2 linked regions of the Oryctolagus cuniculus genome follow. The protein of the gene in region 1 interacts with the protein of each later gene in a pairwise test. Links are inferred from orthologs where the notes say so. Each region holds a gene or a part of one and is shown in the gene's direction. Other genes may lie near its edges.

Region 1 (5,355 bases):
ACATTTCATTTAAATAGCCAGGTGCCCTGGAATTAGGTGCATATACATTTATTACAGTCACATCCTCCTGTTGAATTGATCCCTTAATCATTATGTAGTGCCCTTATTAATCTCTTTTAACAGTTTTCCTAGTAAAGTTTATTTATCTGATATTAGGGTGGCTATACCAGCTCTTTTTTGTTTTCTGTTAGCATGGAATATCTTTTTCCATCCTTTACCTTCAGTCTTGTTGATATAGGTGTTTCATCAGCCAAATATGAGAAAGAACAACAGAAGGAAAACACCAATCTTGGTTGTGAATATATGGTTGAAGCATAAAGTTCAAATTCTTACTCTGAGGAGAAAACTGTCTCTCCATAAGGTAAAGTAACATTCCCAAATTCATACAGATAAAAAGTGACAAAGCTCATTCACAACATGATTTGCCTCCCATATCAGGATTTCAGTTCCACATGCCTACTTGTCCTCCATTTGAAGTTTATATGTGTTGGTTTTATGGATCCTCAAAGGACAGAATGAATAGCAGAGCTCAGCGCAAATGAGATGACACATTAAATCAAAGTCTATAATGTTTTTAGGCATTTTTACTAGTCTTCATAAAAGAACTTATTGCTGAAATTACACCCTTTAATAATAAAGTATAAAAATAACACTGAACATTGGCAATATCTCCTATGATTAATACAGCTTACCTTTGAGTTATCTGTTTTCAAGACAGATGGCCTAAAAGTAATATTGGAATTAAAAGCTGATTTCAGGTTTCCCTCTTCCCTGCTCACAAAACACTGCAGTTATTCCATCAGCAATTGGGAATATTTATTTCCAGTGTTTATGGCTAAAAGATATTTTCATGCACAGAAATGAGAATTACTGCAGAATTAGTGTTGGTTTTTTACAAATAATATTCTTACTGTATTTACATTTTTTTTAATTGGAAGAGCTCACGGACTTAAAAGTGAATACAAATTTTTTTAATGTATCATTGTTCCTCGAGAACATTTTGTGGGCTACTCCAAGCGCAGAAGTTTATGTACTTCCTCCTGGAATGTCTACACTAGAAAACGGAATGAAATAAAACAAAATTTGTTGGGTTTAACAGCCTTCTTCTGAAAAGTATACGCCTATCTGGTATGTTCGCAGATGGAATGTATAATCATTCTGAAAGGGTCTTGGAGACCTCAGATGTGGATCAGTAATATCTTCAGTTGACTTTTTTGCATGTCACAATCTACCTAATTCTATGGAAGGATGCAAATGGAACATCTATTCTTAGAGAAACTGAAACAATGAAAAATAAAGGGAGCAGGTTTCTTCCACAAAGTTTATTTATTTATTTATTTATTTTCATAGAGATCCTTTCTATGAAAATAAATAAATAAATAAATAAATAAAGGATCTCTCTGGGTACAGACAGGTTTGTAGAGTTGGAAATTTCAAAGACATGATTGTCTTCTGTCAGATGAGGCGATGTAGAGGAAAGAGGATCTTGTGCCCCCTACCTCCAATAATTGTGGTGGGCCATAGAGATGGAAGGGCATTGGGGCTCAAGGGCTGTTAGAGTTATAGCGTGCCAGTGTCTTTCCTCGTAGATTAAAAAGAGAAACCGGCGCTGGAAAAATGGAGATCTATCAGCCCCCTCGTTTATGCTTCCCTGCTATCAAAAGTAGCTCTGTTCCTCTCTGGCCACCCCTCCCCTCCAGCTCCCTTCCAGCTCCGCCCGCCCTCGAGGTGTTTGCTCTCAAGAGCGCGAAGGGTGAGGACCAACTCCTCCGATTGCTTTGCGCAAAATCCACCTCCCCCCTCCTCCTCCCCTCCAGCCTGCGGAGCCCGCACCGCCTGCCTTGCCCTCCTCAGCCCTGTGGTGCCGGGTTGGGATGAGCCTCTGTGTACTACGAAGGTGGGAGGGGCCACCAGCAGAGGATAATGTCAGACGCTCCGCTGTCGCCTTTTGCCTGACGCTGCTTTTGGCTCCGCGAGGCTGGTCCCGGTAAGAAACCGCAAAGAGCTGCGGCCGCCGTGGCCAGAGCCAGTGGCTGAAGCGCCCAGAGTCCGAGTCCCAAGGCTCCCGACTAGCTGGCCTCCCGCTCCCCAGCGCCGTCAGCACCATGGACAGCAGCGCCGTCCCAGCGAGCGCAAGCAATTGCACTGATCCCTTTGCGCACTCCTCCAGTTGCTCCCCAGCACCCAGCCCCGGGTCCTGGGTCAATTTGTCCCACTTCGATAGCAACCTGTCCGACCCGTGTGGACCGAACCGCACCGAACTGGGCGGACGCGACGGCCTGTGCCCCCCGACCGGCAGTCCCTCCATGGTCACAGCCGTCACTATCATGGCCATCTACTCCATCGTGTGCGTGGTGGGTCTCTTCGGAAACTTCCTGGTCATGTACGTGATCATCAGGTAAGGAGGGCGCCAGGGCTGTGAACGGGGAGTTCAGCGGCTAAAAGGGCTCCCAAAAGGCCCTTGCATCCCAAGACTAAGCGTGTGGTTGGGGGCGACCCCAGATGGAGCGGTTGCTGTGTGTGTTTGTGGATGGGGAGCTACTTTTCTATTTTTTTTCTTCCACTGGTAAAGAAAAAATCCAAAAATTCAGGAACAGAGAAGCTGTTTTGATAAAAGGCATAAAGCTCTGGGGGTGAGAGTTGGGGGAAAATGCTTCATGTTGAAGCTCTCCCTTGTACAGAGACAAGAAAACTCTTGGCACAGAGTCCTACGGTGGCTCCCTTTGCAAGAGCTATGGCATCATAAGTTGTGAAGAATGGGGGAGGACGTTTAGGTGTGTTTTTTTCCGAATTGGGAGGCTGAGTCCACTCAGGTGGCAACTTTCCTACTTTTGCTGGTACAGGAGGACTTCTCTGTAGACAGCCCCACCCCTGATCTTCACGTGTACCTATTCCTGCTTCCACCCTAAGGCCACATGAGGCAGAGGAAGTTTTCCTGGTATCTCTCCCTGGTAATGTCACTTTGTTACCTCCACCCTTTGCAGTTGACAGCTGTGGTTCTGCTACAGCAATTGCAAGCTGCATCTTGAGTGGGTAGGGTGGTTCAGGAGAACAGAATTGTTTTTCAGTGTCTCCACACATTGGAACAGATGAAGAGTGACCCATCATAATTCTCCATTAGAAACTGTTACATAGGAAGTTGTCATAGGCACTCTGGGAAAAAGAAAATGTGTCTTTAGTAAAATTATTTCGAAAGAATTTATGGTTTACTGTCTGTTTCCCAGATGTTCCAGCTTCATTAGACAAGGGGTGAGCAAATTTTCAATATTGAATGAGATTGATGTTGTTTGTGTTGGTCTTGATATGTATACCAAACACATCATGTGAATGTGGAATACTAAATATTCACTTTTTAAGAAGTAAACAAATATTTTTAGCTGTTTAACATAGTTCCTTAGTAAGGCTTGTTTCTTCCCATTGGGGGTTGTAGGTATGCAGCCAATGTGTCATTTTCATATTTAGTTACAGTGTTTGCTTCACCTATTCAGCAAGTATTTCGCAGGTTTCAGTGGAGTACTTGAATCCTTTAACAAATAATCACTGTTCCCATTATGCTTTCCTTAGCAAAGTGCTGCAAATTGCTTGTAATTGACTTGTCCTATTTATATGCCTGATTTCTTTAATTAATGTTTGTTAAAAAGTAAAGCTAATTTCCCTGATACTTTGATAAGCAATAAAATAAGAAAGTGTCTCTGAGAAAAGAGCACCATCTATTGAGTGGACAGCTAACAACAGAAGGAAAATTTCAGGAAAAGAATCAATGAAAGAATTTATTTTAAAAAAAACTGCTTTCTGTAATTCAATAAAAAATTCATATCAGAGAAAAAACTAGTCTTATTCTGCAATTACGACAATAAAAAGTATAATTGAAGGTCTACTCTTAAAAAAGAAAATGTTTCTCATTTATCCCTTTAAAAATCACATAGACTGATAAAACTAGAATGACTACAGATTATCTTTGCTCTGTGAATAAAAGGTAAAGAAAATATAAATGATTCCTCTTAGATATCACTATGCTCATAAATGTGTATACATGAAATTTGTTCACTTTATATAAATAAAAAAGTTGAAAAAAGATACCACTGAACCAATCTTAGCTAGCATAATTTTCTGTTTGTTAAGATGACAAACCATGATTTAAATTAGCCAACTACTAGATTGACAGAGTAGATTTAGTCAGCAGTAATAATGATAGAACAATAAATTATCAAAAATGTATATCTATGGAATCCTGGAGCAAAAAACACGATATAAATTACTGAGACATCTATAAACTCCACCATCTGAATCATGATCTTTTATCCCCTTTCATTGCTTCTCCTTAGCATTTTACTCCCTCCCCCCACCCTCTAGTTTATTCTCTGCTATAAGGAGACATCCAATAGCACAGAAATAGGCTGTGAAATAAACAGATTGGCTTTATTCCAGTGTTTAAGAGGTTGTTACTTGGGTGAGTTTGTTTTAAAGGCATTACTTCTGGCTCCTTGTTGACTTGGAGAAACATGGTGACATTGCATCTTACTGAGAACGTGATATTATGCTTTCTTCTCTGTACTGAAAGTTCTGAAAAAAATGCAGTACTCTTTTAAATGTCACCCCAAACATCCACCTGTGGTAGGTTGAGTGTTTAATTCCAAGGTCAGATAACCCTCTGAGGATTTGACTGTGAAACAGAAAACTAGGCAGTTCAATGACAAATGATGTGATGGGAAGAGCATCTAAGGATGGAAGAAACTGTGTCAGTTTATCTGATATTATTTAACTGACTGCCTCCACTCCAAAGTTTTAACTATCAACTGATGAGTTCAGGGATATTACTAACTACTAACAAGATGGCTTAATGCTGCCTTTATTGAAGTACTGAAGAGAAATGCTCACTTCCTCTCACTATTTAAAATCCAGAGCACTAGTAAATGATCATCTTGTTAGTTTTGTGAACAGATTAAGATTAGAATGTCTTAGTGCATTGAGTAAATCATGAAGTTCAGATGACTATGACAACAGCAACATAAACAGCTGGAAATATACATACTGTGACTGATGCTTTTATGTTGTGTGTCTCTTGACGCCATCATTATCATACCTTCATCAGCAACGTAATTGGTATTAAGTAAAAGGGATTCTTATACAGTGCTATCCTAAGTGATGTAAGAGTGGAAGACACACTGCCCTATGATGTAGAAAATTAAGCACCAGATGTTAAATGACAAAATTTTAGTAGCCATGCCTGAAAGTGGTTTTAGTTTTAAAGAGAAAAATGTTTGTAGGATAATGATTTTTGGAAAACAGAATAATACAAATAGTACAAAAAGTAGCACTTATTTAAAATTGGATAATAGAATGCTTTTGCCTAGA
Region 2 (5,206 bases), on another chromosome or scaffold:
CCCTGTGCATCTCTTTCACTAAATAAAACGTTAAAAACTTACCACGTAGCCTGGTTTATTTTGAGCTGATATTCAGAATTCTCACTGGACTAGATGGCAAGGACGCCCAAAATTATTAATATCACAATGATTAATAAGGCTAGCCGGTATCCATCTGATCAAGTCCTGAGGGGCTTGGGGGCTCAGCAGGAACAGAACGGATACTGGCAGAGCGCACGGAGCCGTGCACCACCGCATGTGGCTGCTCTCACTGCCACACACCATTGCAGATGGCCGCTCTCAGTGGCCTGGGGCTTGGAGAGCTCAGGTCTTGCCCTGACGGCCATTGGAAGCCATGGAAGGGCTTTAAGCAGAGTCACGGTCAGATTTCTGGGAAGAGTGGAGGCTGGGTGGAGGGGTGGTCTAGAGGCCAGGAGCTCAGGTGGGAAGCCCCTGAGATGGCCGCCTCCTGGACAGGTCGGGGACATGCAGGGTTCCGGGTGGACTGGCCTGGTTGTGGGGAGGGTCCTCCCAGTGGATCCCAGCTCCTTCTTCCTCTGGGGAAAGTGCTGGGCTATTCAAACGCTGGCCTCCACAGCCGCTGAGGACGTGGTCAGTGCAGTCTTGACGTCACCCACCCCCCAGCCCCCGCCTGCCATCTGCTCCCACCCAGGAGATGGAAGCAGAGAGCCCTGTGGAGAGCCAGCCCCAGCCCCAGCCCCAGGAGAGGAGTCAGGCGCAGAGGCTGCTATGGGGGCGGGGCGGGGCGGGGCGTGGCGGAAGCCAGCCTCCAGGGGCCTTTGTTCTCACGACCTCGGAGGTCAGAATTGAGCAGGCACGAAGTTGTCAGCTCTGCAGATCCAGAACACTCCATTTGGCCTGGCCCAGAGGGAGAGGCCTGGGAGGGAAGGCCCCCAGGAGCAGCCAGCCCTGGAGCTCTGGGTCCAAGCCCACCCTACCTGCTGCTCTACACACCCAGCAGCTGGGCTCTGCCACCAACCCCTGGCCCCGACGTCCACCTGCCACTGGCTTCCCCGGCCCCCATCGAGGGCTCCTCAGCTCTCTCCCAGACCAACTCACAGATCCTTTGTTGCATTTTGCCACAATGCTTCCAGATTTCACTGGTGCCATCTCCCCACACCTGTGCCACACCATGGGCTTGCATCTCCCAGCAACTCCTGCGCCCTCCACAGAGGAAGAAACAGGCCCAGGGCACAGAAGTCAAGAGCAAAGCCGCAACCTCTGGGCTCCCCGCCACCTTCCCAAGGCCTCACAGCCCCCAGCCCTCTGGCCCTTCCCCGGGCACCTGGCCAACAGCCTCCTGCACCAATATCCCCATCCAAGCCCCTGAGCCCCTGCGACTCTCCTGGAACCCTGGGGAGAACTACCCACGTGTGAATCACACCCTCCCGCCAACCATGATCTCAGTCTGCACCTGCCTGGTTAGCGGAGGGATTGCTAGAGGCCGGGTTTGGCCCGCGCACCCCCAGCTGCACGCTGCGTTCCCACGGCCCGCCCCACCCTCTTGCCCCATTTAGAGGTGGAGAGGGCTGGAATTCAAGATGAAGATCAGGAAGCCCCCAGCCGTGACCCTCCAGGGAGGTGCTCAGTGGCCTCTGGTTGTGTGCCCTGCCAGGAACCGGGACAGTCCCGAATTCGCCGCTGCGGCTCTAGCAAGGGGAGTGCACCCCGGTTTCCCATCGTGGTCCCCAACCCCAAGCGCTAAGGAGGAAAGTCCCGCGCACAACTGGCAAAGGAGTAGCCCCAGCACGCGCGCATCCCCTTCTCACGCTGTCGGGCCAGCGCTTCCCGTCCAGCCAAGGAAACCGAGCGAGGGGACTGCGCCGCCGTCGGGAATACGGGACTCGGGACTCGGAGACCTCAGCGGAGGCGCGGGGCGGGGACCCCGACTCCGGGGGCCACCTCCGGGAGGGGTGGGTGCGGGGCGCCGCACCTCCCGGGCCAGGCCCCGCCCCGTCTCTCCCCAGCGCCCCACCGCCCTCCCCCGCGTTTCCTGCCCCACACCCCCGCCTCCGTGCTATTTAAGGCGCCCGTGGCGCGGTCCCGCAGGGCTCCCGCGGGCGCCGCTCCGCCGTCGTCCCCACCTGCACCTGGGCCGGCCCGGCAGGCAAGCGGTGAGTGGCGGACGGGGGACAGGGTGGTGCAGCCTGCCCGCGGGAGGTCGGGTGGCACGCAGAGAGTTTCTGCCCTGGTGCCCACGGGCCGAGAAGCCCGGAGGGGAACCGCCCAGGCTCTGTGTCCAGAGCGGGTCCTCCCTGTTTTCACAAAACCCGGACCCCAGCCCTAGAAGGTAGGAGGATGGCTGCTTCCATTTCCCGGGAGAGGAGACGGAGGTGTCCACTAGTGGTGACTTTACCCCAGGGCCCAGTTAAGAGAGAGAGCACGCGCGGGGTGCTAGGATTTGAACCCAGGTCTGCCTCCAGAGCCTGGCCAGAGAAACAGCTTGCTTAGGGAAAGAGGCGCCTGGCCCCCAAGATGGCCTGGGAACTCTGTGACCTTTGTCTTAGCCCTGCAGTGACAATCCTTGGAGTCTGGAGTTGGAGGTGGGGTAGGCCTGGGGGTGGAGGACGAGGATGAGGGTTGCAGGTGAACCATGTTGCTGGCAGGTGGAGCTGATGCGTGATGCTGTGCCTTCCACTGGGAATGCAAAGGTGAGATTGAGGCCAGCTGGGGGAGAGGTGATAGGGAGAGAAAGACCTGAGGCTTGAGCCTAAGAGCCATGCACAACACCTGCGCGCCCCCACCTCCCCCTGCCCCTGCCCTGCGCCTGGGGGAGGCAGCGTCTGGCAGAAGGGAGAAGAGACATAGGCCAGCTGGGTGGCCTTGGATAAGATTCTCAAATTCTCTGTTTCCCCGAAGTGAAGCATCCTCAACCCACTTCAGATCTGGGACTCTGGTCATCCTGGGGCTCTGGCTGGGGACGAGAGGGGACACATGTGTCGTTAGATAGGGCCTCTGGCCGCACCTACCACCTAGGGACTCAGAATGAGGGCCTGCAGAGGACTTGGCAGCCGTTGTCCGAAGCTGTGCTTTGGGTCCTGATGGCCCGCTGGGTGGGAGCCCAGGCCTGTCCTGCTGCTCCCTGAGCCTGGGTTTCCTTGTGGGCTCGTGGCTGAGACAGGTGGGCAAGGGTGGCAGGCTGACACTCCCTGTGTCCCCACAGACGGTGGCCCGGGAGCCATGGGTGACTGGGGCTTCCTGGAGAAGCTGTTGGACCAGGTCCAGGAGCACTCGACGGTGGTGGGCAAGATCTGGCTGACGGTGCTATTCATCTTCCGCATCCTCATCCTGGGCCTGGCCGGGGAGTCGGTGTGGGGCGACGAGCAGTCAGACTTCGAGTGCAACACGGCGCAACCGGGCTGCACCAATGTCTGCTACGACCTGGCCTTCCCCATCTCCCACATCCGCTACTGGGTGCTGCAGTTCCTCTTTGTCAGCACGCCCACCCTCGTCTACCTGGGCCACGTCATTTACCTGTCTCGACGCGAGGAGCGACTGCGCCAGAAAGAGGGGGAGCTGCGGGCCCTGCCAGCCAAGGACCCGCAGGTGGAGCGGGCGCTGGCAGCCGTGGAGCGTCAGATGGCCAAGATCTCAGTGGCGGAGGACGGCCGCCTGCGCATCCGTGGGGCGCTGATGGGCACCTACGTGGCCAGCGTGCTGTGCAAGAGCGTGCTGGAGGCGGGCTTCCTGTATGGCCAGTGGCGCCTCTATGGCTGGACCATGGCGCCCGTGTTCGTGTGCCAGCGTGCACCCTGCCCCCACCGCGTGGACTGCTTCGTGTCTCGCCCCACAGAGAAGACCATCTTCATCATCTTCATGCTGGTGGTCGGACTCATCTCCCTGGTGCTCAACCTGCTGGAGCTGGTGTACCTGCTGTGCCGCTGCCTCAGTCGGGGGCTGCGGGCACGGCAGGGCCAGGGCGCCCCCCCAGCCCAGGGCACCGCCTCAGACCCTTACGCCGACCAGGTCTTCTTCTACCTCCCCATGGGCGAGGGGCCCTCATCCCCACCGTGCCCGACCTACAACGGGCTCTCGTCCAGTGAGCAGAACTGGGCTAACCTGACCACCGAGGAGAGGCTGGCTTCCTCCAGGCCCCCCCTGTTCCTGGACCCACCCCCCCAGAGTGGCCGGAAATCCCCCAGTCGCCCTAGCAGCTCGGCTTCCAAGAAGCAGTATGTGTAGGGGGTTGGTGCTGAGGCTTCTGTCACCCAGCAGAGGGATCCTGAGCCGGGTGGTTGCCTTGGATGTCCCCTCGGCCAAGGCTCAGCGGAGAGGACGGAGCTCGGAAACCCAGAGCTGGCTGGCCGGTCATTCTGGAACGCTCGGGCCATCCTGGTGACCGGAGGGCACGGTGGCTTCCTCTGCAGAATGTGGCTTTGTCACAGGCACAGACAGAGCTGGCCCGGCCTGCCTTTGGCCAAGGGTGCCACGTGGGCCCTTTGTTCATTTTCACCTGGTCCAGAGGGACCCAGAGCCAACGTTTGCCCCACCCCCACCGGAATCTGCCTGTGCCTGGGCTGTCCGCACGCCCTTTGCTTCCAGGCAAAAGCTGCTGGGTCGGCCCTGACCACACAGCCAGACAGAGCCTGTGCTGGATCTGGGCCTGTCGACAGGACTGAGACCTTGTTCCCATCACTCCTTCCTAGTTCCGCTGTTTATGCTTGGAAAATAAACCGGACTTGATCAGCAGTGAGGTGTGTGTTGCGCTGTGAAGACGTGCCTTGGGGCAGGGGCTGGGGCTGGGGCTGGCTTGTTTCGCCCCAGATTCCTTCTCTTCTTGCTCCTGCGTAGTCTGTCTTTGGTCTCTGCTGCCCCAGCCAGCACTGTACACGCTCAAAAGTCGTGCATTCTGCCTTCCCCAATGGCCCCGAGTCCTCCTGTAGGGCCTCAGGCTCTGTCCTCTTGGCCCACCTGGTGCTGTGGTCATCAACCTGCCCAGTAACTGGCGGCCAAAGCAGTGTCCTTCCCGTCCTGACCCAAACCCGGTTGGTGCCCCTGCCATGCTGGCCCCTGCCAGGCGCCTTACTCCGCAAGCACATCTTCCAGCCACACCTTTCACCATCCGACCCAGGTGCACCCATGCACCCACCTCATCCTGGGGCCCTTGGTTTGTGTCACTGTCCTCCTGACCGGGGCGGCAGAAGGAGCAAATCCCCACCCCGTGCACCCAAAGCTCAGTGAGAACAGACGAGGGGACCATGCTGAG

Evidence for each region. The genes of interacting proteins can lie anywhere in the genome.
Region 2: the proteins of OPRM1 (region 1) and GJA4 interact in binary tests that used the Homo sapiens proteins (3 or more experiments, as listed by UniProt). The link is inferred for Oryctolagus cuniculus from reciprocal best matches to the Homo sapiens genes OPRM1 and GJA4.

What each region holds. Positions count from the first base shown.
Region 1 is NC_091436.1:13,655,485-13,660,839, reverse strand, and holds the start of OPRM1 (mu-type opioid receptor), read left to right. Parts: upstream 1-1,972; 5' UTR 1,973-2,105; coding exon 2,106-2,398; intron 2,399-5,355. UniProt on the Homo sapiens protein: Receptor for endogenous opioids such as beta-endorphin and endomorphin. Receptor for natural and synthetic opioids including morphine, heroin, DAMGO, fentanyl, etorphine, buprenorphin and methadone.
Region 2 is NC_091438.1:137,811,239-137,816,444, reverse strand, and holds GJA4 (gap junction alpha-4 protein), read left to right. Parts: upstream 1-1,989; 5' UTR 1,990-2,114; exon of another isoform or gene 2,115-2,290; intron 2,291-3,163; 5' UTR 3,164-3,180; coding exon 3,181-4,182; 3' UTR 4,183-4,689; downstream 4,690-5,206. UniProt on the Homo sapiens protein: One gap junction consists of a cluster of closely packed pairs of transmembrane channels, the connexons, through which materials of low MW diffuse from one cell to a neighboring cell.